Linked DNA regions of Sus scrofa. The protein of the gene in region 1 interacts with the protein of each later gene in a pairwise test. Links are inferred from orthologs where the notes say so. Each region holds a gene or a part of one and is shown on either strand. Other genes may lie near its edges. The genes, in order: EMILIN1, BEX5, MTMR9, ZC2HC1C, IFT20 and PLAC9.

Region 1 (2,759 bases):
GGCCTCCCCCACATTCCCATTTCCCTTGCTCTGAGGGGGTGACAGTGTCATTCCCGTTTTTCAAATGTGGAAACAGTTTCTGTAAAGTTAGAGGCACTCTGGTCAGTGGAAAGGACCTGGGCTTGGTGCTCAGACGGATGACCTGGGTTTGAAACTTGTCTCTGCCACGTATAAAACTTGATAGCCATGGCCCAGTTAATTAAGCTCCCTGGTCCTCTGTTTCCCAGTCCATGAATTGGAAAGGGTTAATGGACTCTGCCTAATGGAGCTGCGAGGGAAGAGAGCCGTGGTGGACAGCTGGCTTAGAGGCATTCAGTGCATGGAGCTTCCTTCCATCTTTTCTTGCCCAGGTCACCCAGCTAAGGAATGGCCAAATCAGCCGAGACCTCTGCCCTCTGCTTGCAGTTGGGGAGGTCAGCTCCTAGGAGGTGGGCCCTGAGCTCTGAGGTCTAGCTCCCCCGCCTCATCATGCCTTTCCCTCTCCGCCAGGTCCTGGGGAATCGGAGAAGGTGCAGCAGCTGGAGGAGCAGGTGCAGAGCCTGACAAAGGAGCTTCAGGGCCTTCGGGGTGTCCTGCAGGGACTGAGCGGGCGCCTGGCAGAAGATGTCCAGAGGGCTGTGGAGACGGCCTTTAATGGGAGGCAGCAGCCAGCAGATGCAGCTGCCCGCCCGGGCGTGCACGAAACCCTCAATGAGATCCAGCAGCAGCTGCAGCTCCTGGACAACCGCGTCTCCACCCACGACCAGGAGCTGGGCCATCTGAACAACCATCACAGTGGTGGTGGCAGCGGTGGTGGTGGTGGCGGCAGGGCCCTGGACTCAACCCCGGCTCCTCCCGGCCACAGCGAGGAAGTGCTGCGGGAGCTGGAGCAGCGGCTGCAGGAGTCCTGCTCTGTGTGCCTGGCGGGGCTGGATGGCTTCCGCCGGCAGCAGCAGGAGGACCGGGAGCGGCTGCGAGCCCTGGAGAAGCTCCTGGCCTCCGTGGAGGAGCGGCAGCGGCAGCTCGCTGGGCAGGCCCTGGGCCGCTGGCCCCCTCAGGAATGCTGCCCTCCGGAGCTGGGCCGGCGGCTGGCCGAGCTGGAGCGGAGGCTGGATGTAGTGGCCGGCTCAGTGACGGTGCTGAGCGGGCGACGAGGCGCCAACCTGGGAGGAGCAGCTGGGCAGGGGGGCCACCCGCCAGGCTATACCAGCTTAGCCTCCCGCCTCTCTCGCCTGGAGGACCGATTCAACTCCACCCTGGGCCCCTCGGAGGAGCAGGAGGAGGGCTGGCCCCGGCGTCCTGGGGGGCTGAGCCACTGGCTACCTGCTGCCCAGGGCCAACTAGAGAAGTTGGAGGGGCTGCTGGCCAACGTGAGCGGGGAGCTGGGGGGGCGGCTGGATCTGCTGGAAGAGCAGGTGGCAGGGGCTGTGCAGGCATGTGGGCAGCTCTGCTCTGGGGCCCCAGGGGAGCAGGACTCCCAGGTCAGTGAGATCCTCAGCGCCTTGGAGCGCAGGGTGCTGGACACCGAGGGGCAGCTGGGGCTGGTGGGCTCAGGCCTGCACAAGGTGGGAGCAGCTGGGGAGGCCCAGCAGGCCGCGCTGGAGGGGCTGCAGGGGGTCGTGGGCCAGCTCCAGGGTCGCGTTGATGCACTGGAGGAGACGGCCGCAGAGCTCACGCTGCAGCAGAATCTCACAGCCGCGCGGCTGGGCCAGCTGGAGGGTCTGCTGCAGGCCCGAGGGGATGAGGGCTGTGGGGCCTGCGGTGGTGTCCAGGAGGAACTGGGCCGCCTTCGGGATGGCGTGGAGCGCTGCTCCTGCCCCCTGTTACCCCCGAGGGGCCCTGGGGCCGGCCCGGGTGTTGGGGGACCAAGCCGCGGGCCTCTGGATGGCTTCAGCGTGTTCGGGGGCAGCTCGGGCTCAGCCCTCCAGGCCCTGCAAGGAGAGCTCTCCGAGGTCATTCTCACCTTCAGCTCGCTCAACGACTCGCTGCACGAGCTCCAGACCACCGTGGAGGGCCAGGGTGCCGATCTGGCCGACCTGGGAGCCACCAAGGACCGCATCATCTCTGAGATTAACAGGCTGCAGCAGGAGGCCACGGAGCACGCTACAGAGAGTGAGGAGCGCTTCCGGGGCCTGGAAGAGGGACAGGCCCAGGCCGGCCAGTGCCCCAGCCTAGAGGGGCGACTGGGCCGCCTGGAAGGAGTCTGTGAGCGGTTGGACACGGTGGCCGGGGGACTGCAGGGCCTGCGTGAAGGCCTTTCCAGACACGTGGCTGGGCTCTGGGCCGGGCTACGGGAAACCAACAGCACCAGCCAGACCCAGGCAGCCCTGCTGGAGAAGCTGCTGGGGGGGCAGGCCGGCCTGGGCAGGCGGCTCGGTGCCCTCAACAGCTCCCTGCTGCTCCTGGAGGACCGGCTTCACCAGCTCAGTCTGAAGGACCTCACTGGTGAGGGGACAAGAGGAGGCTCGGTGTCGGGGGGACCCCTTTCAAGTCCTTTCTTTCTCTTCCCCTGACCCCACAACAACCTAGCTTTAAGCTCGTCTCCTTTCTCCTTGCCCTGTGCCACATGAATTACAGACCCACACTGTCCCATGGCTTGGGACGCAAGAGACGAGCCAGGTCCCAGCTCCCCGCCCTCCCCTGATGGCTCGGACAGGCCTGTGGGCGGAGGCAGGGTGCTGCTCTGCCAGCTAGTATCCCGCATGGGCAGCAGGGGCCCCCATCACCCTGTCCGCGGAGCCACCCCCTTCCTTGTCCTTTGGAAACTTCTTGTATGGCTC
Region 2 (4,189 bases), on another chromosome or scaffold:
ACAGGAAATCCCCATGTGTTGAATTTGATATATAATGCTTTCTCCATTGTGTTCCTTTTTCAGTTGTAAGCTCCAGTCTACAGAGAAAGAAAGTTACTTGCTCACAAGTGATCAGAGACAAACCTGGGCCCAGATTGCAGGACTTTTCACTCAGCTATAGTTAATTGTTGTGCCCTCATACAACTTATCACACCCTATGCTATGCACTGAGGGTACCAGGACAAATAGGACAATATATTTACTGTGAGAAGGGCAGTCTAGGTAAGAAGCAGTGATGACTGCGTGGTGGAACCTGTCCAAAACCAAGGGTCCATCTACCAGATCCCCAGTCTTGGCATGATTTTAAATGAGATGGTACATCTACAGACTGCTTTTTAACCTGCTTTATTAGCTTTACCATATGGAATAGACATCTTCCCATGCAAGTTGATCAATCTCCCCCGCTGACAGAAAAACTTACAGACTAAGTCAAAAGTAAAAACAAAATCTCCAATCAGAAAAATGACAGAACACCAAAGGTTCGTAGTAAAAGGTACATCAAGAAAATGCAATTTTGGGAAGCAGGGGGGTTATGATTATTAACCTCAGCATTCAAGGCATAAGGCAAAACTCATCATGATGGTCATGGTGAGGAAGATCTCCAATAAGAATGCGCAGACTGTACCTCAACTGAAGCTCCCTAATTTTCCTCCTCAGCTCTCTCATCTCCTCCATGAACCTTTCCATATCATCTGCATCTCCATCTATCATGTCAATGTTATTGACAAGCCTATTGGGCAAATCCTCTCTAAAATCCTGGGCAGGTGGAACCCAGTCCCCTGGAACGTTTTCCCCAGGCCTCTGGCCTTCACCACCTCCAAAAGGGTGGGCTTCTTCATTCCGCATTTGAGCCTGCTCCTTTCCTTTGTTTTCCTTAGGAAAATTTTCCATCTTGAGATTTCTTTCCTGCTTCTTCTTCCTAGGAGACAAAAAGGAGGATTGAGTGCTTTGTAAATGACGGGATTCAGAGCTTTGTGGGCAAAGGCTTTCACACCAGATACTTCGTAGGCCCTCCAGGAGGCGCCCTAGATCCAGCCCTAACTCAAAGCCCATCATTTTCCCTAAAAATCCTTCCCTGGGCAACTCCTAGCACCAAAACGTAGGACAGGTTGTGGGCTGGACAGTGGTTGAGAGAGCAGGCCTTAGCTACCAGGGATCCTGGTAAGCTCTCCATGGGCACCCCAGAGCTTGTCCCTCTCCTCTCTTCCCTCACCAGCCACAGGTCCAGTTTCTAAAATCAGGTTTCTCCTGCACTTAACACAGGCAGGGAGGGCTGGGAGTCCTCCAGATTCTGTTCTGATTCCTGTTACCCCTACACTAGAGGGTCCAGGCACCCTCCATACCTGCAGGGATCAGAAGTAGTCTTCCTCTCTTAGCCTTGAAATCTGTTGCACCAGTGGACCTGCAGACAGAAATGCAGCAATGGCCAGGGCTGACCAATTGATTCAAGGACCAGTATCAGGGCACCAGCTCCATTGCTGTTGGTTTAGGACTCAGATAGTCAAATGTTGCTGCCTTCTCTTTCTCCACCTTCCTGTCTCACAGTTTCTTTTCCCACCCCATGATGTGCTACCCTGCCTTTCAGAAACAGGCATTGTAATAATAATAATAAATCATCACCTCCAAACTAGTTTCACCTCTTCTTTAGGCCCCTTATCTCCACTGTCTTGTCCTTCCCTTCTCCTAATTACCATTTATTGAACTCAAATGGACACTCTGCAGGGCTGGGGAGTCTGAAGAGCTTGCTAAGAGGTATGCGGTTTATTTATAAAGAATTTCAATCTGGGTACCTGCCTGGACCTTTTGGGACCCAGTGGCCTTCTGGAGCTCACTCTCCTTCCACTGCCCACCATTTTATGCATCAAGATGGATGAAGGGCGAAGAGGTAACGTGGGCATTGCAACCTGTAACTGCTGGGGCGTGACCACTTTGTCACTCTTACCCACAGGGTCCTCAGGCAATGCCCATGCTTAAACCGACTTGAAGGGACCAGAAACTGTTTCTGGCTCCCCAGCTATAGCCCTAAGTCGGTAGCTCGCCAGATCGAATGTTTTCTCCACAGAAGGGACTTGTTTCCCAGACCAAATCCCCGCCCCTATCGTCTGCTGCAGCCGCCTGGGTCCCCGCCCCCCTCCCCCGAGTTCCTGTAGCCCACCATTTCCGGCTCCAAAATGGAAGGAGGGTGGAGAAGCAACACCGGGAATGGAGTCCTATACCCGTTGCAGAGTTCGCAGTCTCCAACCCAGGTGACAGGTTGCGCGCCCCTCCTGTCGCCCTGCAGGATTCAGGCCGTTTCCTTGCAGTCCCCTTTTCTGGTCCTTCCCTTCCAGGTGTCGCCCGACCGCCCACCTCCTAAGAGATCCCATCTGGTAACCATTTTTAACCCTTGACCCCTCGATCTCCCACAAACCCTCCATTTCTTGCACAAAACAAGCGCATAGCGGGAAAGGGTTGCGTGACTCCAGTCCCGGACCCGCTCTTGTCTTTGCCCTCAGGCCCTCCGCTCCCTCCCCTTTGAGTGCCCGCCAACCTGCTGAGGATAGCTGTCAGCTTCTGAGGCTTCCTCCTTCCCAGGGTACAGGTTCGCCCGCCTTCAAGGCAATAGCAAGCTCGCGCACAGCCACAAAGAGCTACTGCCGGCAACTGTAAGGATGGAGTACTACAGGCGTACACTCCAGGTCTCTTAAGGGCTACGTCACCCTAAACTCAGGTCCCCAGTTGTGGTTGTACCTGCAGTGCGGCTGGGGATTGGGAGCGCGAGTGTGGGCGGGGCCACCTTCCTCCTCATTCCCTTCCTCTCCCTACCAAGACCCCTGGGTACTGCCCATCCCTTTGTATCTATTTATTTATCTATTTATTTATTTTCCTATTTAGCAATCTTTGACACCAAACGGGTCACAATATTTTGTCATTTGTATCTGCCTTTTCCCTGATTTCTGTCGAAGCTTTTAAAGAATTTCTTCTTCCTCTTCTATATTATTAAATGCCCACTCTCTCCCCTCCCCTCTCCAGCAAATAAAGCCTAGAATTTCCCCATCAGTCTTGTTGGTTTTGTCCCAGGCTGGAACCGGGGCGGGGGAGGTGAGGGGGACAAAGCTAGGAAGTCTGGAAAATAGATAAGAGGTAACATTAAAAAAAACAAACTTCACCTTAATTATTTCCCTGTTTATTTTACTTTTATTTTTTTCCGAAGGGGTGGGTGATTAATTTTGTTCAATTTCCCATTCGCATGATTTCATTTTTTTTTTTTTTTTTTGTCTTTTTGCCTCTGCTAGGGCTGCTTCCCGAGGCAAATGGAGGTTCCCAGGCTAGGGGTCGAATCGGAGCTGTAGCCACTGGCCTACGCCAGAGCCACAGCAACGCGGGATCAGAGCCACGTCTGCAACCTACACCACAGGTCATGGGAACGCTGGATCCTCAACCTACTGAGCAAGGACAGGGATCGAACACTGTAACCTCATGGTTCCTAGTCGGATTCGTTAACCACTGTGCCACGGCGGGAACTCCTGATTTCATTTTTTTTGTTTGTTTGTTATAATTAAACAATACAGTTAATTTCAGTTGAAAAATAAGATTCAGGTTCCAAAAACTTGGCAACCTGTTTCTGCTGCTGAATTATCCTATAAATGTAGACCCTCCGGACAGCACACTTACTGATCTTTTTTTTTGTCTTTTTCCCATTTCTTGGGCCGCTCCCGCGGCATATGGAGGTTCCCAGGCTAGGGGTTGAATCGGAACTGTAGCCACCGGCCTACGCCAGAGCCACAGCAACCCGGGATCCAAGCCGCGTCTGCAACTTACACCACAGCTCATGGCAACGCCGGATCATTAACCCACTGAGCAAGGGCAGGGACCCAACCCGCAACCTCATGGTTCCTAGTCGGATTCGTTAACCACTGCGCCAGGACAGGAACTCCCTTACTGCTCTTTTAAGGACTTTGAACTATAAACCTAAGCTGGTGGCTTCCCTTGTGAAGGGTCTCTGTGCATTCCTTTTATGAGATGAGGCAGTGCATCTGATGGAGTCTCGCTGGTGGATTTTCGGATCTTGAGAAGCTGTGACAAATTTATGGTCCCCTCGAAATTATATTTAAATTACATTAGTGCAAATTCACTTTACAAAAAGACTTCAGCATGGCCTCTAAAATAG
Region 3 (3,500 bases), on another chromosome or scaffold:
AGAAGAAATACAGGTGACTCCCACTTCTGCCTGCTGTTACAATAGGCTGACTGTGCACAGCGCTGCTGGAATGGGTGACCAGCCTAAGAGGAGAGATGGAAATGTGACAGTCATGTCCTGGTGGGATCACAGTATAGCACATTCTGTTAACACATTTCACACGGCTGCATCAAAACTATTATTAAATGGAACATCATATATTTTTGGTGGCTGCTCTTTAATGGATTTCGTAGTTTAAGACAATCTTCAGCACCTAAGGGAAAAGACATTAATTTCCAAATACCTTACTAGCCTATGCAGTTAGCCATGAGAACTGCAGTTGTTCTTGGTATATCAAATAGAAGGATAATGAACTTCAGCGATAATAAACATAAATCTTTCGAGGTCTATGAAATCTGGAGCAAAGTCAAAGAACATGAGCTCTTGCGGTATGAAACAAAGGACAGCTATCCTCTTCTGTCCAGCCAAAGCACTGCAGATCATTGTGAGCTGTGTAAGCCTCACCACTAAATGGAGATAAACAAGGGGTTCTCACAGACAAATTTAACAGGTCACTCCTGATATTGAACTTTTAATTACATGCAAAAAAAGTTATGTCATGGAGACATCTGTGTGAATACTTTTATATTACAGACCAAGCTGTCCTTAGTTTCCCTCTCCTTCTACAAGGACCTGGAAGAGGCTGCCATCTACTGACCAAAGGAAATTTAAGAACCATTAGGCTCTCTGGCCCATCTAGAACCCGAGTTTATCCCAAGAGTCACACCCTTCTGGGTTTTAAACAGGCCTGCTTTATCTTTGGGTCCTCATACCACTTTATCTGGTAAAGCTAATAGCATGAATGTGAATGGGATTTTGATACCCATGAAAATGGTAATATGTTAATAAGTAAATCATACTCATTTGTCTGCTGTGCATCACATGGAATGTAGCTGAATAAGATTTGCATGAAATATTTAGGACGGTCTGACTTAGACATAAAGGTTAGTTGTCAGAGTGGGTAGACTCAGTAAACATAACAGTATTAATACATAATAAACCCAAACTGTAACCAGAAGGGCCAGAAATGATTTTTCTCCAAAGGTACTTATACTTTCAAGATATATCTAAACATTATTTTCAATCGCAATATATATAGTAAGTTAACACAGTATATATACATCTATAAGTTAAACTCCAGCTTGGAAGATTTAAATCTATTTTATGACACCTTTATTTTAGCTGTTCTTCAGCATTAAATATGACAGCACTGTGTGGTATCCTAGGGATAAACAGCTGAATTCGGCAAGGCTCCCTGACTTCTCTGTCACTGTGTCTGGGTATAGTTCAGGAAACAAGGTGTGAGGAAAATGGGTCAATTTTATCCGTGAAGGAAGTCAGGGTCCCAAAGACTTCATGAAAGCAGCGACATTTAGCTGGATCTTAAAGGATGAGAAGGATTTCACATGGCTGGGGAAGACAACGGGATGGAGCCAGACAGGCAGAAGGTAGAAAATGCTAAAGCACATGCTGCCGCCGCATATTTACAAGTCCCCACTCCTCCTCCCCACCTCATTTATGACTTTTATCTCTAGCAAGACAAGACTATGTTACCTACAGGGGAAACACAAAGAATGTAAAAGTACAACTGATACGGGTTTCTTAGGGGAATGAAGCGCCAAGTGAACAATGTGAGCAAAGAGGGAGGCAAAAAGATTAGACATTAACTAAGAGGAAGATGAACTGTCCCCCCAGAAAATTAAACATACAATTTAAACATTTGAATCAATCAGAATTCCATATATTATGTCCTTTCCAACAAACCAGATCAAACATCAAGTGTGAGCAAGCCATTTTTCTCACCTGCAGCCACTCTCTTTCTATCAAGGCCTCAAAGCCACGGATGGTCCTGCTTCTTGGCTCCAAGATGATCTGGGCCAGGGACGTAACCTGAAGTGTGGAATCAGTTCCTTCTGTTCCATGAATCAATATGGATGCTCCTTCCCTGATAGGAAAACCCAGAGTACAGATGGGACACTCCCAACATGGTCAACAACTCTTGTTAATAACATGTTTGAGCCCAATATTTCACAGTCTTGCATTCTGCTCTGTCCAGTAGGGCTTAGAGGCTAAATAAGGAATATGAGGAGAGTGTCCCTTGGGGAAAATATGAAACTATAATAAGTCCCAAATTTCACATGGCGAGAACCTGTTTATTTGTAACAAATTTCATAGAACCATTTAGCTTGATTTTTTCTTTCTTTACAAAACCACAAAGCAGACCTTATCAAACTCAGTAGGCACTGACATTTTCTGCTTTAATAGTTGACTAAAGCCTTTTCTCATCAAACTGAGAAACAATTATTTTTCTGTATCTCTCTGACCTTGCTTCTACCTTTCTGCCATCAGCTTACTGTAAAGACTGCCTTCATAAACTGTAATGAATCTGGAAAACAAGTCCTGAAACACACTTTGAGAAACATGAAAATAGGAAGAAAAATTTTTTTACATATATATATAAAACTGTCAATCTAGAAAGTCAGTGGCAATGATACTATCACAACACGCTGTATGAAGTGTCTGGAACTCCATTATTCTAAAGAATGAAAGGAAACACTGAAAACTAAATTAACTACATCTTCTCCCCTCTCCTCTTTTTATTGAAGTGACAGTGAAGGAAATTGTGGGAAAAGGAAAATAAGCTCACTACTTTCCTGTAAGTTTCATGTTTGTCTACTACTATTAATTCCTTCCCGGAGTTCCCGTCATGGCTCAGTGTTTAAAGAATCTGACTAGGAACCATGAGGCTGCAGGTTCGATCCCTGGCCTTGCTCAGTGGGTTAAGGATCCAGCGTTGCCAGGAGCTGTGGTGTAGGTCACAGATGCGGCTCGGACCCCACGTTGCTGTGGCTCTGGCGTAGGCTGGTGGCTACAGCTCCGATTCGACCCCTAGCCTGGGAACCTCCATATTGCCGAGGGAGCAGCCCTAGAAAAGGCAAAAAGACGGGGGGGGTGGGATTCCTTCCCCATGTACAGATATACTTTATACTTTAGCACAGCTATAATGAAAGGTAACTTATTATTTCCATTTTTATTATAAACATTTTCCCATGTTTCTATGTCATCTATAGAAGTACTGTATTAATAGTTACATAATACTCTATTAAGTAATAAACTACAACATACTTAATCCTATAGTTGGACATTTAGGTCACTGCGAATTTTTCCTACATTGTAGGTGGTATACTTAGCTTTTTGTCTTTTGCTGAATTATTCTAGAGTTCTTAATTTGAAAACAAGACTCCCTGATGTTCACTTCTGGTTAACAATCCCATTCTTAGGATGAAATCTAATGACTAGACTAAAGGGTATGGGCAAATATTTTAGGGCTTCTGATATATATTGGATATATAGCCTAGTTATCTGTAGTATGCTCTAATTTTAATTCATCTAACCTAAGGTCTGTTTTTACATTTTGAGTAATTATTTATAAAGAAAGATTTTTATGGAACAGTAAGTAA
Region 4 (4,225 bases), on another chromosome or scaffold:
GGTACCTCATATATTTACTAAGAAGTTTCATCAAAGTTAATTGAAAAAGTATAGTTCTAGGAGTGGTAACAGGTCCTAATCTTGGGAGGTGGCAGGGTATATTGCAAAGTGTGAGGAATTCTCTGGGAGTGCTGAAACACTGCATAATTTTTTTCTTTATATTTTTCATGTCTTAAATTTTCTAAAATGTTTACTACTTTTATAATCAAAAGGACATATTTTTTAATTCTACATTTTGGAGTCATTCTGACCCAGATTTACATGCTGACTCTGCCATTAAAAGCTATTTGTGAACTCAGACAAGTTAACCTGAGACTAAATTTTGAAACTGATAAAGAGATACTGAAATCTTCCCAGGGTTGTGGTGACAATATCACAGTGACTGGCACACAGTAGTAATCAATAAATGTTAATTCTCGCTTTCTCCCCACATGACGCATGACACATGACATTTTTCTAAAGAAAACAGATGAGGATATAACAGGCTCACACCCCCATTCAAAGGCAAATCATTAAAGGCCCTTGTTACCTTGACTGAGGCCGATCCCTTCCAGTTCAAGTACTGCTCTAGTTCTGTGCCCTTAGCCCGGGCCCTGGAGGAGTCAAAGACTTTCCTCTTGGAACCCCGCATCCTGCTGCAGACATTGGAGTGTCTCTCAAGTCTGAGCAAGAGAAATTTCCGTCCACAGTGGCTGCACGCACCCAGTTCTGGCTCTTCAGTGGAACAGCTGGAACCCAAGGAGTCTGGGGCCCTAGACAAGCTAGAATGGCAGGTAGATCTCTGCAAAGCACTGGGTGGCATTTCTGAAGCCTGAGAAAACTTCTCCTTCAGCGGCCCTGAGACTCGGTCTCGGATTTGGTTATTGCTTGCCATCAGTCCTTCCCTTTTGAGCTTCTGAATTCCATGATCAGAGAACTGGAATGGACTAGAATTTTCTTGAGACCGTCCCCAAGTTTCATCGTCTCCTACATCTCTACTGAAGACCTCCGCAGACTTGAATTCTGGGGAGAAGATAGGTTTGTGTGAGGTGTTACTCTTGCCTTTAACTCTCCTCCTGGGTAGTGCCATTCTCCTCTGTAGCTCTCTTTTTTCATTTTCTTCAGCCTGTTCTTTCTTCTTCTGGATCCTTCTGAGTTCCTCCTCTGTCTTCTTCAGCTTTTCCCTCAGGAGAGTCTCTTTTCTTCGGATTTCCTCCTCTAAACTCTCCCCTGCAGCTTCTAGTCTTTGGATCTGCATCCATTCCATCCTGCTGGGGTTTGCCACAACCCTCTCCTCCTGAGTGGCAGCAACGGAACCAACCACAGATGAATTCACCCAGTTCCTTGAACCAAAACTGCTGTATGAGAGCTTTCTTGGCTGATGGGATCTTAGAGAGACATTCTGGTCCCCATCAGTGCCAGCCTCACCTGTACTACGGGACTTCCGGTGAAACACAGGTTTCAGTGGGTATGCTCGGTCCACCCCAACTCGCTTCTTTGTAAAGGGGATGAATTCCTGGATATTTGCTTTGGGATACTGGGATTGAGGGCCTGATGAGTAAAACAAACCTTTTCTCGAATCTTGCTGGCTTATTTCAGCACAGTGGGGATAGGAGCAGCTCCAGGCTTTCATGCTGGTGTTCCATTTGGGGTGAGTGTAGAGCTTATCTAGTGTCAGCTCTTTGTTGCTCAAAAGCTCCTGCTGGAAATTATTCCTCAGGTGCCCCATAGAAGACCGCTGGGAAGAGTCACCTTTTTCATAGGGATCTTGCTTAACTGAATGGAGCTCTGGAGCTTCCCTTTTATTATATGGGAACATAATGCCCACAGGCAGAGTCAGTGCCAACTGGAGGCCAGCCATTCAGGGCTTGGACAGAAGCCTAGGGGAGATTTAAACCAGACATATGTGAGGAGTTTGTCTGAGGTTCATCTCAGCTGTGAAAGTAAACTATTTCTACACTTGTCTTACCCACAGTTTCCCTTAGACTTTTTAGGGACAGTGCTGCTAGGTCTAGCATTTGATAAGCGCTTATTATGTCCTATGGGTGCTTATTAGGTCCTAAGGATAGAAAAAGGGAATGTGATACAGGTGTTCCTGCCACCTAGCTTTCCTTTATATATATCATACATAGTGATGCTCCTGCTTACACAGTATACTCCGTAGCAGGCGGAATGAGCTATTGGGCTGAAAGTCAGTTTTCAGTCAGGACAAGCAGCATCCCCTCGCCGGCTCCAGTTTCTTCACCAGTAAACTGAGGGGTTCACTTAAGAGTTAGATGGCTGGAACTTAGGGACCTTAGGACTCCAAGTCCCGCTCCACCATTTTACAGGTAGAAAACTTCAGCCTGTTGGTAAGCAACTGGCACAAACTGCTCTCAGGACTTCCCGCCTGCTGGAACCGTGCTGGACCCCAAAGTGCAGAGAGCCGGCTCAAGGCCTGCAGCAAGTGCCTGGCTGGCAAACCCTCTCGCAAGGTGTCCTCGCAGCGCAGATGGCGGAAGGTCGGTAACCTGAGAGGCGGAGAACACCTGATCTGGCGGGGTTCATATCCGGAACGCATAAGTCCTGTTCTGTCCTGGAGGGTCAGCCGGGTAGCCCCACTGGAAACTCTGCTTTAGGGACAAGTGCTCGCTCTTCAGTCTCTCGGGCCCTTGGGAGGTCGAGGTGCTGACCCCATATCTTCCCGCCCTTCCGCGTACCTGTTCTAGCAGACGGCTCCTGCTCAGGGGAAACCCCAGAATTTAGTTTTCCAGACCACACACCACCCTCCCAACCGCCCGCCGCCGTGCAGGCGCTGTTGGCGGGCCTCTGTTATTCCTGTTGCCTGGAGACCGAAGCGCATGCGCACCCAGTCCCGCCACGCCCCGAATTCCACCGGAGAAGCGTGCGCAGCCGCAGTCCGCACACCCGGGAGTCGCCCGGTCGCGGGCGCGGTCAACACGAGTGTCATTTGACCCGGTGTCCCACCAACTCTGCAGCTCCGTCCAGCCCTGCCCTTAGGGAACGGGAGAAGAGGGTGGGAGAGGCTTTTCTGGGGCTCCATCAAAGGGCTTGTATTTTTTTTTTTTTCTCAGAGCGATGCTTTCAGGTCCTGGGGTGTGTCCTTCTCTGGCAAAAGATGGAGCGCCTTAGATGTGTCCTCAAGACCTGCCGCAGGATTCCGGTGTCCGCCCTCTTAGCCGCCGTGGGCATACTGATAGCTTTTCTTAGCACGCTCGGCTGCTTTGTACGGGCCCCAGGTACGGCTGTATACTGTCCATGGCTTTCCTTGCAAATAGTTTGGAGCTTGCGTCAAATTTTAGCAAATCGGCTAGGTTTTGCTACGCGGTGTCTTTTGCAGTATCTTTCCGGGGACGTTTTCGTAGCCAATCTAATTATTTGGATATAATGTTTTACTCTCACGTGGTAACTCTGATCCTCTCTTCTTGCGGCCAAAGAGTGACTCAACCAAGTGTAATGATAATAAAGTTAACTACCAGATCCAAAATACTCAATATAACCTGGTTTCAACACTAAAGATGCTCTGTAACTTGTTAACATCAGAAGAAGGTTTGTTTGTCTTTATGCTTCAATTCATTTGTGTAAGCTACTTGGAACAAGCAGCTTACTTTTTTCCCTGTAACTGCTTAAAAGATTCATGCCCATGGAGAACAATACGGACAGCAGTGGTCGGTGTTAATACTTTAATATGTCATATTACAGTTTTTACATGTTACGAAGAAATTCCTTGGTGGCACTCCAAGGGCAGTACTTTTATGCCTTGTTTTCTTTTCTAATTGACTCTCCACTGCCTTCTCTATGTATGCATTTCCAGACATTTCCCACTCTTCTCAAGGCCCTAATTATCTCAGCATGGGGCTTGTCTGTCATCAACTCCCTAAGCTCCCCTCCAGTCTGGCAGAATTTCCCAGGGTGCCTCCCTCCATTTTAACTTCTTTCGCTCCTGTTTCTGAGGAAGAAGAATCTTTTGTCTTTCCATGAAGTCTCTCTCTCTCTTTTGTTTTGTTTTGTTTTGTCTTTTTAGGGCTGCATACGCAGCACATGGCTGTTCCCAGGCTAGGGGTCAAGTCAGAGTTGTAGCTGCTGGCCTCCGCAACAGCCACAGCAACGCGGGATCTGATCTGAGCTACGTCTGCGACCTACACCACAGCTCACAGCAACGCCAGATTCTTAACCCACTGAGTGAGGCCAGGGATCGAACCCGCATCCATATGGATACTAGTCGGCTTCATTACTACTGAGCCAG
Region 5 (2,299 bases), on another chromosome or scaffold:
CATTTATACAGAAGTGTGTATATGCTACTCTCATCAAGAATTTTTTTGAGGTATAAATAACATATTAGTTTCAGGTGTACAACATAATGTGATGTTTGTATAGGAATTGTTATTTAAAATCTTGTTTTAATTATAGAACGCCTCCCCCAAAAGTCAAGCGTGCAGAAGGATGAGAGGCTAGTGAGCCAGGGTTCCAGGACAAGATTAGACAAAACATGCTGATCTTACCTTCATCTTCTCATTTTCTGCTTCTTTTGCAAGTTGATCAACAAGCTCAATTAAACCACCAACTATTTTCTGAAACTGGCCGATTTCTTTGAGAGAAAGAACAAAAAAGTGTTTTATCTTCTCAGCATCACCACTCTCCCTCAGCATTCCACTGGTGTAGGAAGGCAGGGCTAATTGTCCCTTCTAATTTGTCAAAAAAAGTTTGATATCTGCCACCCTTGGTCTGAACCTAGAGAAGGGTGGCTAGGTTCCCAGAGCTGGACTGGGACATACTTGGATCTTGAGTCCCCACTGGCTCAGGACATGAACGCTGCCTCTAGACAAACCACAGATCAGACACCAGATCTCAGTTAACAGTCGGGTGGGGGCTTTCCTTCTGTGACAAGAACTATTAAAAAACTCAAAGCATTTAAGGACATAATCACCCATTTGCCTTTTTTCAAAGTCCCTGGGTGTGGTGGAACCCCATGTTATTTAAGAATAAACTAAGGCCCAGAGGGTAGAACAACATGAAGCTATGAGAAGACTGGCCAGAGAACCCAAGCTACCTTCACCAGTCAAGCTCTCTGTATAGCCTATGGAGCCCCTGGGAGGCTCAGAAATCCCTGCCTAGCTCTGCTCCATATTCACTGCTACTGCATGTGCCTGGCTGCTGGGACAGGAGCCATTCTGGCTATCTCAAGCTAAAAAAAAAAAAGACTTCATTGAGTCTGTTGAACTGCCTTTAGAAACTCAGTTAATCAACTTTTACTCCAAATAATGGCAAGTCTGCCACCAAGAACACTATTTCTCCCAAGAAATCAAATCATAACTCCATTTCCCACCCCTAAGACACAGTTCTGAAGTTTTAAGGTTCTTGAGCTGGCAGATCTAAACAAACACCCTCCTCTCCCCATGGCAGTGTTTATTTTGATTGGTGCTCTGAGATTGCAGGAGAGCAGAAGAGGGCAGGCAGCCAAGGTGGGTAGAATATGGGATTCATAAAGGCCAGGGCCAAGAGCTGCAGTCAGGGGTGGGGGTGGGGCACAGTTGGAAGAGCTCCAAGCTAAAGGCACCGTGTCTCCCCACACGACACTCACTGTCGACAAAGTCCTTGCACTCTTCTTTGAGCTCTATGGTCTGCTGGGTAACCTCTGGGTCCAACACCCGCAGCTTGTTCAGTTCATCAAAGTGCAGCCCTGCTTCACCCAGGATATCCTTGGCCATAGCTGTAAAGAAACCAGCCCCAATCCCGATCACTTCCCAGCCACCCAAGGAAATGCCTGCTTCTAGCCCAGCCCCCAGTCCTGGCCCCGGACACCAGAGTGAGAAACCCAGAGGCTCCAAAGGCTTCCCCTTCCCTCTGCCTCCGCCTCTCTGAGTCTCACCTGTTTCCCTTCCGGCTTCCCTAGAGAAGTTCTGCTCTGAAGGGGTGACAGTAGCAGCCAGGAGGAGGTATGTCATAGGAGCAAGGGTCAGGAAAGAATAAAGTCCGGTTGCTTGTCACAGGCATCGTTCACTGAACACACATTTCTTGAGTGCCTACTACATGCCAACACTGCTAGATGCTGGGGGCAAAGATGAGTGCAACATGGTGCCCGCCCTGGAGGAGCACAGAGTTTAGCTGGAGGAAGACAGACATATGCACTGAAAAATCATACCATGTTAAGTGCGTTTACAGGTACATCACTAAAGTGCTGGAGGAGACCAGAACAGCTAACTTGGGGTAAGGAAGTGATACATGAACTGAGTTGTGAGCCATAAGTATATTCATGTATCCCCAGTTATGAACCCAAAAGGACATAAAAGAGCTTTTCGAATGCAGTACTGGAACAATACGAAAAGCAAGTAAAAGAGAAAATCTGAGTGAATTAAAAATTAGGGGTAAAAAAAAATAAGAAGCCAGGTGTAAGAATTTTGCCCCCAATGTATGCCACAGGTACAATGGCCTGAACTGGGACCTAAAGTTGAGTCAGTCTTTTTCCAGCAGAAAACACAAAAAGGAATGACGTATCCACAAGAACATACCAAGTACGGAGGTCAAGGAAAGGCATTCCGAGCAGAGAAAACAGCCTGGACAAGAGCATGAAGC
Region 6 (3,500 bases), on another chromosome or scaffold:
ATGCTCCACCGTCTTCTCCACCGTCTAGAGCAAGGAGAGGGGTGGGGAGGAGCAGAAGACAAGAGTGGTGCCAAGCCCTGCTTAATCAGCCACATCCTAAGGAACACTTGGCAGTCCAGTTGGGGGGTGCTGTGGGGAAAGAACTGGGTGCCAAGGCACCTGGGTCCTCCTAATTCAGGCTCTGCCCTGGCCTGCCTCTCAGTTTCCCAGATGACAAAATCCTAGGGGCTCACTCTCTAAGGCCACTCCTGGCTCTCCACACAGTGATTTCATTCAGTCTCTGGTTCTTCATGGGGGGACTTTGGGATTCCTTTTTCTCTTTCAAGACTTCACTGCTGTGAGTTCACGTTCCTTTTGTTGCCCTGCCCCCTCGTGGCAATTCTGCCAAATGACAGTTTGGGGATTTCGAAATTTTCTTTATGGGGGTTCTTTTCTTGTGAATGAACCCCATTAGCAGTCTGGTAAAACCTACAGACCCTCCCACTGGAAAAACGCTTTCATCAAAAAAATAAAACATAGGATTTCCAAGGACATCAATTTAATTAAAATATTATTAAAGCATTAAAAATAAAATTTATTTAACAACTTATTTAAGTAGCAAGTCTAACAACTACTGAAATTTTGACATACCAATTAGAATAAATGATATGTTGAGATATACACAATGACTATAATGTGATTAAATTAGCTGATTTCTACTGATGACAAAGTCATAGTACTGTTAATATTACTATGATTTGTTGTCTACATTTATAATGAATGAGAATACTAAATTTCAGTGAAAGCTTTCTGAAAATAAAGTGCAATTTTTTCCCCACAGTAGTTATGGACGCCAGGTTACAAACTGTGGCTGGATAACAAAACAGTGACTGAATTTCAAACTTCTTGTCCAGATTATGCAGAGATCTCTGGCTGGAGATAAGTAAAGCCTGGGGCGGGAGGGAAGCAGAGTTTGTTGGGGGCCCGTGAGCCTAAAAGCCCAGGTAGAGCAGGGAGATGTTTAATATGGTGGCCAGGGAGCAGGATTGGCCTAGGTTTCCTCAATCTTCCCAAGCAAGTTTGGCCTGAGCCCTCCAAAGCCACCAGCCTGGCAGGTGGTTCTGAAGCTGCAAGTCCCCCCAGGTCACCCTCATTACCTCCTCTATGACGTTCAATCGGCTGTGGATAGCCATGTATCTGTCACATGCTGTGCTCCGAGACGGGTCTCCTCCAGAGGGGATGAAGGGTTCAGCAGCTGTGGGAAAACAAGTCTTGTCACTATGGGGCCCTCACTTTCCCTGTAACACTGGAGACTCCTGCAAAGTACTGGGCTCAGGAGAGGTGGTTCCTGAAAACTGTCCAAGGAGAGGCAGAGGAAGGCACAGGGTGGGTCAGCATACAAGTGTGGGGCTGCCCCAATCACTCCCTTGTCTCTAAGACCCGTGGTCATCTACAGACCCAAGTGGGCTTCCTCAAGGAGGTGCTGCCTGAACAAGTAAGGTAAGGAAGGGATCTACCAGGGGCCCTAATAAACCAATCATGATGCTTGTTTAGGGGTTTATTTTAATAGAAGAATCACATAGTCATATATGAATTTTTAAAAATACAGAGAATGGATTGGAGCGATTTGTCTTTGAGGGCAGGAAGTTACCAGTTATCAGTGTAAAAAGTGATGAAAGGAGACAGGAGCCATAGGAAGAAAATGCATGGAGATACTTTACTAAGAGCACAGACACTGGTGAACAGTTAGTAACATCTGACATTTGACCAGTACTCACTATGTACCACACAAGGTGCTAAACAACAACCAATTATCCCCAATTTACACATAAGGAAATCGATGCACAGAGGAATTAAATGCATGTCCAGTGTCACACAGCTAGTAAGCGGAAGATCTGAGGTTCACCCTGTTCAACTCCTGACTCATTTTCTTACTTAACAATGGTTCCTCCTTGGATATTTCTGGCACCACCAACCCTCACACGGAAGTCTGAGAGCCCCAGTTTTTGCTTGTTTCATCTTTTTAGGGCCACACCCCTGGCATGTCGAAGTTTCCAGGCTAAGGGTCAAATTGGACCCCTAGACCTACGCCACAGCAATGCCAGATCAGAGCCTCATCTGAAAGCTACACCACAGCTCATGGCAACGCCAGATCCTTAACCCACTGAGCAAGGCCAGGGATCGAACCTGCATCCTCATGGAAGCTAGTCAGATTTGTTTTTGCTGAGCCATGACAGAAACTCCTGAAAGCCCCAGTTTTGAGCTCAGGTTGCAGTGTTGGAGGCTCCTAGATGCTCTGGGGGCATCTGAGTTGGCTGGAACTTTGGAGCACATGGACACTCAGGAAGGAGGATACTGCCCAGAAACAAGAAGCAAAGAGATTTAAAGAGGATGAAACATTAGTACGGCCTAAAGCAGAAGGGAGGTATAGCACAACAAAGATTGAAAAACAGAGCAACAGAAAAGTTAATGCAGAATTGCACCCCCAGTACTGTCAGCAGAGAGATGGAAGCAGAGCAAAGTCTAGACCCTGGTGGGATGAGAAGGGAAGGATAGATCAGAAGAGAAACTTAGATCCTGAAAAATATTTCCATGAAGCTTGGCTGTGAAGGAAGGGAGATCAGATCACAAGGTCTAGAGAAGTGTTCATTGTGGTTGTTTCCAGGTTTTTTAATGATGAAGAAAATAAACCATGCTTATAGTCCGAGGACAGGCAGAAGACAGGAGAACAGAAAGAATGCATTTCCTGAAGACACGTGAGGCCTGGAATCCAGAAATGGTGGTAGGGGCCCAGGGCAACACATGGAGGGAAGAGAGAGGACATGCAGCAAAACTGGGCACAAAAGTTCTGCCTAAAGGGCCAAGAAGTTGAGTGAGTCCCATTTGACGGGATCTCTTCACTTGGTAAAGTAAGAGGTGAACCATCTGTTGAAAATTCATATAGAATTAGGAAAGAGGAGAGTTATTTGTAAAACGTTCAGGAATTCTGAGTGGATTGTTAGATATAGCCACCAAAGTGGGAGTCACCCTGAGAGTATTTCCACTGTGGAAACTGACAAATGCTTTATTTTCTGAGAGCAATGTGGGCATCTGAAGCAGAGTAGGGGTAAGAGTTATTAGACTTGATCTTTGTAGACACAGAACTCTTATAACTCTCAGACGCTCAGTATTGGCTGGGATGGCCCAAGGGGACTTTATATAAAGTTGCCCAGAAGATTGGCAGGTCTTAAGGTAAGGACAGAGAGGGGAGCCATTTTGCTAGTGATGAATGTGTAACTCTTGACTTGCCCAAGGTCACACAGTCAGCAAATGACTGGACTCCAGGCACCCTGGCCTTCTCCTGGCCCCACCTCAGCAAGATGACCTTCTGGAGCTCTACAGAATCTCCATGCCCTGATGTTTCCTGGTCTATCTGGATCCCAACACTTCCACTCAGGGGATTTTTTTTTCAGAGAAGTCTTTCAGAGTTCCATAACTGAAATAGAGAGGGAATGCTATGAGATCTTGGCTTTACTTCAAAA

Evidence for each region.
Region 2: the proteins of EMILIN1 (region 1) and BEX5 interact in binary tests that used the Homo sapiens proteins (3 or more experiments, as listed by UniProt). The two-hybrid records come from large-scale screens. The link is inferred for Sus scrofa from reciprocal best matches to the Homo sapiens genes EMILIN1 and BEX5.
Region 3: the proteins of EMILIN1 (region 1) and MTMR9 interact in binary tests that used the Homo sapiens proteins (3 or more experiments, as listed by UniProt). The link is inferred for Sus scrofa from reciprocal best matches to the Homo sapiens genes EMILIN1 and MTMR9.
Region 4: the proteins of EMILIN1 (region 1) and ZC2HC1C interact in binary tests that used the Homo sapiens proteins (3 or more experiments, as listed by UniProt). The two-hybrid records come from large-scale screens. The link is inferred for Sus scrofa from reciprocal best matches to the Homo sapiens genes EMILIN1 and ZC2HC1C.
Region 5: the proteins of EMILIN1 (region 1) and IFT20 interact in binary tests that used the Homo sapiens proteins (3 or more experiments, as listed by UniProt). The two-hybrid records come from large-scale screens. The link is inferred for Sus scrofa from reciprocal best matches to the Homo sapiens genes EMILIN1 and IFT20.
Region 6: the proteins of EMILIN1 (region 1) and PLAC9 interact in binary tests that used the Homo sapiens proteins (3 or more experiments, as listed by UniProt). The two-hybrid records come from large-scale screens. The link is inferred for Sus scrofa from reciprocal best matches to the Homo sapiens genes EMILIN1 and PLAC9.

What each region holds. Positions count from the first base shown.
Region 1 is NC_010445.4:112,034,170-112,036,928, reverse strand, and holds part of EMILIN1 (EMILIN-1), read left to right. Parts: intron 1-489; coding exon 490-2,424; intron 2,425-2,759. UniProt on the Homo sapiens protein: Involved in elastic and collagen fibers formation. It is required for EFEMP2 deposition into the extracellular matrix, and collagen network assembly and cross-linking via protein-lysine 6-oxidase/LOX activity.
Region 2 is NC_010461.5:83,606,998-83,611,186, forward strand, and holds BEX5 (protein BEX5), read right to left. Parts: upstream 2,801-4,189; 5' UTR 2,570-2,800; intron 2,515-2,569; exon of another isoform or gene 2,195-2,514; intron 1,442-2,194; 5' UTR 1,383-1,441; intron 959-1,382; 5' UTR 931-958; coding exon 592-930; 3' UTR 369-591; downstream 1-368.
Region 3 is NC_010456.5:14,488,974-14,492,473, reverse strand, and holds part of MTMR9 (myotubularin-related protein 9), read right to left. Parts: intron 1,985-3,500; coding exon 1,843-1,984; intron 84-1,842; coding exon 1-83. UniProt on the Homo sapiens protein: Acts as an adapter for myotubularin-related phosphatases. Increases lipid phosphatase MTMR6 catalytic activity, specifically towards phosphatidylinositol 3,5-bisphosphate and MTMR6 binding affinity for phosphorylated phosphatidylinositols.
Region 4 is NC_010449.5:98,263,827-98,268,051, reverse strand, and holds the start of ZC2HC1C (zinc finger C2HC domain-containing protein 1C), read right to left. Parts: upstream 2,801-4,225; 5' UTR 1,841-2,800; coding exon 530-1,840; intron 1-529. Other genes in the region: ACYP1 (acylphosphatase-1), read left to right, coding at 3,098-3,218.
Region 5 is NC_010454.4:44,611,385-44,613,683, forward strand, and holds part of IFT20 (intraflagellar transport protein 20 homolog), read right to left. Parts: 5' UTR 2,236-2,299; intron 1,832-2,235; 5' UTR 1,672-1,831; coding exon 1,596-1,671; intron 1,437-1,595; coding exon 1,308-1,436; intron 315-1,307; coding exon 229-314; intron 1-228. UniProt on the Homo sapiens protein: Part of intraflagellar transport (IFT) particles involved in ciliary process assembly. May play a role in the trafficking of ciliary membrane proteins from the Golgi complex to the cilium.
Region 6 is NC_010456.5:81,891,910-81,895,409, forward strand, and holds part of PLAC9 (placenta-specific protein 9 precursor), read right to left. Parts: intron 1,235-3,500; coding exon 1,137-1,234; intron 25-1,136; coding exon 1-24.